Schizosaccharomyces pombe: one gene and its partner. Changing the gene in region 2 together with the main gene of any one other region gives a genetic interaction. Each region holds a gene or a part of one and is shown on either strand. Other genes may lie near its edges.

What was found.
Region 1: of ssp1 (region 2) and mog1, a mutation in one rescues a mutant of the other (synthetic rescue), as found in Schizosaccharomyces pombe (one study listed by BioGRID).

The regions. Positions count from the first base shown.
Region 1 is NC_003421.2:2,246,730-2,250,157, forward strand, and holds mog1 (Ran GTPase-binding protein Mog1), read right to left. Parts: upstream 1,477-3,428; 5' UTR 1,436-1,476; coding exon 863-1,435; 3' UTR 632-862; downstream 1-631. Other genes in the region: Golgi rhomboid protease Rbd2, read left to right, coding at 1-186; cell wall and secondary septum 1,6 branched 1,3-beta-glucan synthase catalytic subunit Bgs4, read right to left, coding at 2,550-3,428. UniProt on the Schizosaccharomyces pombe protein: Involved in the Ran-GTPase system for nuclear protein import and poly(A)+ mRNA export. Required for mitosis-to-interphase transition.
Region 2 is NC_003421.2:1,876,447-1,880,206, reverse strand, and holds the start of ssp1 (calcium/calmodulin-dependent (CaMKK) protein kinase Ssp1), read right to left. Parts: upstream 1,761-3,760; 5' UTR 1,494-1,760; coding exon 1-1,493. Other genes in the region: aro2 (chorismate synthase), read right to left, coding at 2,721-3,760. UniProt on the Schizosaccharomyces pombe protein: Involved in actin localization and thus in polarized cell growth.

The sequences.
Region 1 (3,428 bases), 370 kb from region 2:
TGTACTCCTTTCATGCTTGGTTCTATCCCCTTAAAAAGCTGGGCTCAAAATGTGGACCCAATCTTCCAGTCTTGGGTAAAAAACTATCACTCTTTTGATCAACTGTCGCATGCTCAACTCCCCATTGCGGAACCTCTGTCGACCTTTTCTTCTTTCCCCGGAAAAGGAACCCGTCTTGGGGGATGAACTTTCTGTCTTTTACTTCTTTTCTGTTCTTCTTCGTATGATGATATCCTAAATGTTTGTTTTCTTTATTGCAAAGGGTGGAAAAGCTCCTCTCAATGAAGAGATCTTCTATCTTTTGGTAATTCTTATTCAGTATTTTCTAGTCAGTCGTTTACAGGTTTCAATCATAAAGATTGTTTCATTCGCTATATTTGTTCTTTACTTGCACGGAGTTAGGGACAATTAGAAAGTATTTTAATGTTTAATAATTCTTTATGATTAACTTGTTTTAATCACCACTGTCCTACAGCGGCAGTGTAAAGGACAAAAGCTGTACAATCAAAACACCTTGAAATTGTAATTTCCGTTATTCTTTGGAAACTAGCGTTTTACGTTGTACTCTCAAATCATAAAACATTAAACTGTAAAGACACAGTGAAACTTATACTATTAACAATGGAAGAATGGGAAAATTAAAATAATAGCAGAAAAAGTGAAAACCATTGCTAATCGGTTATCAAGTATCAGATGTTTTTATTAAAACCCTTCATACAAGTTGGAATAACCGGTTTTTATAAATAAGAGAAACAATTCCTTTCGGATAAAGAAAAATAAAACTTGAAAAGTATTTCCCTAGATGAAAATCTTAATTAAGTGTTGTGGGCTAGTTAATTTGCTTGCCTATGTCCATCATCCTTTAAGCAAATACTGTTTTATCGACAAGTACAAGAGATCGAGTAACTCGCTGTATTGTTTCGAGAGCAGCGCGAACGATGCTTTGATCAGAAGGGGGAATGTTTTCAACAGAAGAGGGAACTGAGGAAGTGTTAGGTAAAGGAGCATTTACGGAGATTACGATATCTGTTTGAAAGTCAATCAAAGTTATCACATTCACGAAGATTGCCACATTGGTAGCGGATTCAGGATTTCGCTTTCCTTTTTCAAGGACCCTCTGACAACCTTGTACAGAAGATCCACTAGCCTTTTCGCTTCTCATGCCCTCAAAGTCGTCTTCACCAAGACTTTTGTCTCTCCAAATTACTCTTTGAGATGCATCATTATCGAATGCAATGCTATTGAAATGGTAAGCTGCCACACTTCCATCAAATGGCTTCTCAATTTTTTCCAAAAGCTCAATGATCACTGTTAGGTTTTCCTTGGAATCTTGCAAAAACACCTCTTGGTTGTCAGGAATCTGACGCAAAACGCTAGCATCGAGAAATTTAGGAGGGAAATCAGCACAAAGAGCCCCACCGAATAGCTGTACCATTACTATAAAAATATAAAAACCTAATAGATTTGTTTGTCTCAAGAACCAGATTGGTATTCGAACCACAAAAGGATTCTTTCCTATTTTCACTCCATTTCATTCGACTGCGGTAACAAGTTAGTGCGTGTTATTTTATGTTTCATTATTATATTTATCGCTAGTAAAACGCTTTAAATGAGCCTAGATTCAATTTTCAATATTTACGCACTGCACGGTAACTACTAAACTGATTTAAAATTAAAATAAAAAGAAATTCAAATTGATGATTTTTAATGAAAATGATATGTTAAAAATAAAATTTTGTACACATATATAGTTTCTAATATCGTTTTGACAACTAGTATATCAAATGGATGAAAGGACGCTCGTAATCTTGTAATCATGAGTCCATTCAGATATCCATAACTAATACAAGGATAGGGCGTCTGATAACTTTTACGATTAAGTTGATTAGTTGTTCAGCCTTCCACTTGTGTGATACAAAAGAGAAATGGAATTGCACACTAGAGTGGTTATTTCAAACTTTCTATTGATCTGAAAAACCTAAATTAAACGTTCACTAGATAATAAGTATTCAACCAAAAGATCAATTTATGTACGGTATCATAATCTACTTCAATACTTTTACACAATTACATCACCTTATATTTTAAACAAATATCCATTAACTGACCAGCAATAATATAGGTAAAAGTTTTGTGAACCAATGGGAATTCTTATTCATTTGTATATAGATAAATGAAGAAATGTATATATATGCATAAAATCCTAGCCCATCAAACTGTAACCTGAAAAGGCTTGTAACAAAACTCATCAATCTCAAACTTGTAAATGGTGAAATAGCAAATGTAACGTAGATAGAAAGATGGTATGAGTAAAAAATGATAAACGGTTAACCCTTTAGCTTTGCTTTTATCCTTCAGAGCTCAATAACTCAAGTCGAAGAGATGGGACCAAGCACATGCTGAAATGTATGAATGAAATGAGTGTAACAAATAAAATTAATAAATTGCTGAGATACTTGACGAAAGCTCATCAGAACATCAGTGTAATATAATAGCGAACTAGCGCATCTTTTCAAATTCATTTTAAATGATTTTTCTAATAATCCCATCTAGTAAGTGGTATTGAATTCGAAATGGTATCTGTCGTACCAGAAAGAATAATTAGCAGTATAATTCGTGTCCCTTGGTTGAATGATACCGCTACCAATTGAAGAGTTAGTTTGGTTCCATCCAACAGCACCCTTGGCAACAGCCTCAGAAGCAGTTAATCCTTGGCGGATTTCTGCACCAGCTGCCAATGGAACAATAATAAGAATAAGGAATATTACCAAAATTGAAAAGTACAAGGCTGAATAACGACGAACAATACGTTTCCGCAGTCTATTCTGCTTGGTAGAGAAAATAGGAGGACGAATTTGACGACTTGGGCGCAACCAGAAAAGAAGAACTGAATGCCAACGATCAATATATGGGATACAAATCACAGGAAGCATAAAAAACAGTAATAAGTGACCCAAGAAGAAATCAGTAGCAAACAAATTAAGTTCTATGGCTTTACAGACAAATTCACGAGCAGGCAAAGTAAAGGCATGATAGCCATATCCTTTGCCATACCATTTACCACTCCACCAAGAAATATTAGCACTATCTTGTTTGACCTCACGAGATAAACATAATAGTGTTAAAATTTTGAAGATAAAACGATGAATTGCAGTAACAGCACAGAAGGCCAACACAGTCTTGGGTAATGACCATCCATCAAGGAACCAGCAGACTTCAAAAATAGCAATGAAGATGAAAATTTGGATCGTGTGGGCAATTGCAGCAAAAATAGATGGAAACTTTTTACAGCACAATCCAAAGGCTGGACCCAAACAACAAGCCATACCACCAAAGAAACCTGACATACCAAAGCCTGCTGCAATAGGAATGAGAGAGATAATAACAAGTCGCAAAATGGGATTAGTACCTGTCTTTGTGTCATGAAC
Region 2 (3,760 bases):
TCGGACAACTCGGACGCGGATAAACCAATTGAAGAATTACCAGAGCTCTCAGGCCGACAAATGGAAGAGTCGGAAGGAACAGAGGAGGAAGAATCAAACACTCGCGCTTTTGGACGGCGGAAACGAAACAGCTTACCAAGTTTTCTGCGAAGACGACCCACAAGGCTGATTGCAGAAGCAACTTCGTCTGTAGAAACCTCAACACGACTGACGGTACTGGGATCAGTGTTTTGCAACCATTTTTCAGGATCCTTCAAGCCATCCAATGTCCATGGGTGAAGTTTTACTTCTACAAGTGTTATACGTTGTTCAGGATCTTTGCATAATAATCTTTTAAGCAAATCTCGACCCTCTTCACCAATGTCGGGTGTAGAAGGGATGTTCAGACGCTCATTGACGATTTTGTCAAAAAGCTCATACTCCATGCTAGCATTAAATGGACAACGACCAAACAAAAGGCAAAACAAAGTAACGCCTAAAGCCCATACGTCTATTGCTTCAGAAATCTTAGGCCTTGGGCGATCCAAATCGGTCCAGCACAATTCAGGGGCGAAAAAAGCAGGAGTGCCGACAGTTTTTGCAAGCTCAACGTCGTTGTCTTCATTCAGGCCAGCGTTGGCAATGTACGAAACACCAAAATCAGATATTTTGACACAATTAGAAGAGTTAAGGAGAAGGTTGGCGGGTTTAATATCTCGATGAATAATGCCTTGGTAATGTAAATACTCTAGACCCAAGACAACATCGCGAAAGTATTGTCTTGCCTCGCTAATCGAGAGTACGGGGGAGTCACAATCTGTCCATGGCACTTCCCCACCACTCATGTACTCTAAAACAAGATACACCTTCGTTGAGGATGGATCGTCAATGACCTCGCGCAAGCGGACGACATTAGGATGGACACATTTCTTTAAGATGGCAATTTCGCGACGAACTTTTTCCTTTTGACTGGAAGCATTGGCTCGGCCCAGTTTCGGACGACGTTCCGTCTTCGGGATGATCTTGATCGCCAACAGTTCGCGGGTAACGGTATCACGGCCAAGCTTGACTTTACCGTGCATACCACGTCCTAGTTCTTTTATAATCTCATAGTGGTTAATGTATTTACGACCCGAAAACCGATCAAACCGCTTTCTTATCTTTTTTGTTTCCTTCACCTCGCCCCATTCTTGCAGGCGCTTCCACTGGCGCTGAGCCTCTTGAAAATTATCAGAATAAAGACGCTGGTTATGCTTACCAGGTTGAAAAGTCCATGAGTGAGTTAACGAACTTCCTTCACGTTCTCCGCCCAACGGGGCTATTACATAATCTCCCGCGCTGTAGTTCCGTTTACGAAATGAATCGGACGTTTTCTGGATGGCCTTGTGGACGGGATATTCAGGAAAGACAGAAGGAGGAACTTCGCTATCGTCTACCTCTGGATGCCAAGTATTTTTCCGTAAAAGACGTTGTGGCTCAATTAAAGTTTTTTCTTCATTATTCACTGATCCCATCAGGAAGTGTTCCTCGAGTCCTCTTAAATAGCTTCAATAGTCAATAAGTACATGAATTACCGGATTTACTAATCGAGCTTTTCCTCTATCGGGGACTAGGCAACTCGTATTTCGGCGGGGCTATAGTCGTAAAGCTACCAAGCTAAATGACTCTGAAATTTATTTCTTCTTTAAGACTTGTAGATTTTTAGTAGTCCTCAATCTCCAAAATTGATTAATATCTTGTTTAAAATCAAGCCTACGTTATACTGGTGGTTGGAAAAGGTTAGGTACATCTATACCGTAGCACGACACCTGGTGAGGGATGACGATGAGCACTTTTGGAATGATCATTTTTGCGAAGTACCTTTCACTATTCCGTATTACACTACTATACGTAATCCTCCTTTTCCAGATAGTAGACGGGATGGTTGCTATTTCATCATAGGTGGGACTAACGAGAAGTACGCCTGAGAAGAAGGCTTCATAATAGAATACTATTTTCTTACAGAGGTTTTTTGGTACGTAAAATGTGTGGAACATCAGAAATATTCTATAACAAATTTCGATTATTCAAAATATTACTTTAAAACAACTACCACTTTTTCTCACAAGTATGGAAACGTTGATAGTAAAACCCATAAATCCAAAGATTTTTTTTTTTACATAATAATAATCCTTTACTTCATCTACAAGCATAGACGATGTGCCGATAAACGGCATTAGCAAAAAAAATTTTTTGCAACATGACCAAACTGCCGGTATAATATATCATAATTGCATACACAGTGTGTAAGTATGAATACTTAGATGAGAGAAAAATCAATGGCAAGATTAAAAGAGAATGGCAAAAGCTATATTTGGTCACCAATTTAGATTGTGTACCGCAGGTGTCTGTGTAATAAACATGAAAAAAATCTGCATACAAACAAACATCAATTGCTAGTTGAAGAGAAGGTCTTATACTCTTTGCAACACTTCTTTAGTTTTTCTTGTGTATTAAATTTTTTACTTTTTTTAAAAATATTCATTTATAATCTTACACACTATATTGACAAGTATCTGTTAAATATGCCTTAATTTGTGTTAAATTTACCCTCCAAAAAAAATGTACATATGTAATCTAAGAGACAAAAGGTATATCTAATCCTCTCTTTTTGGCGCATCAAAATAAGATAATCCAGTAGGCTAACTCAATTGAAGTGAGATTCTTGCCCCCAAACTAGCTTATTTTTAACTTTTTTTAATTTATTGAGCATTGGGGAGTAGGTTTCGAGAGGCAATACGACTTTGTTGAATCATGACAGCATCCATAACGACAAGAGCAGCCATGGCTTCAACGATGGGAATGGCACGGGGAACAACACAGGGATCATGACGACCCTTGGCAGCAAGAACACCGTCACTACCATCGTAACGGCTAGTTGACTGTTCTACGCCGATGGTAGCAGGAGACTTAAAGCCAATGGTGAAGTAAACGTTTTCGCCATTGGAAATACCACCTTGGACACCTCCACTGTTATTGGTCAAGGTACCAAGCTTGCCAGTATCAGCATTTCGGTAAAAAAGATCGTTATGCTTGGATCCAGCAACTTTGCAGCCTTCACGGCCTGAGCCAATTTCAAAAGACTTGGTGGCAGGAATACTCATCATGGCATGAGCAAGCTTGGCCTCAAGTTTGTCAAAACATGGTTCACCAAGACCGGTGGGAACATTACGGATCACACAGGTTACAGTACCACCGATGGAATCGTGGTTATCACGAGCTCGAGTAATACGTTCAGCCATCTTGGCGGCCGTCGCAGCATGAGGACAACGAACAGTGGTTTTATCGACTTCCTCTCTCGTAATTTTATTGAGGAATTTCAGATATTCAGCGGTTATAGGAGATTCAAATGTATCATCCTCTGGGTCCAATATGGCGGAAGAAGCGGTTTCGTGCAATGGAATGGCTATTTTGCCTACACTGGAAACAAAGGCAACGATTTCGACACCATAAGCTTCTAAGAGATACTTTTCAGCAATTGCACCAGCCGCGACTCGTCCAATGGTTTCACGGGCACTGGATCGACCACCACCCGAAGATGCCTTGACACCGTATTTCTCCAAGTAGGTATAATCAGCGTGAGAAGGACGAGGGTAGTTGTCCATATCGGAATAATCGTGTGGTTTCTGATCTTGGTTTAGAACCAGCATTCCAATCGGAGTTCCCAGAGTCACGCCAAACTCCGTACCGCTTTGAATTTGAACTTTGTCTTTTTCATTACGAGGAGTCGTCAAATTAGACT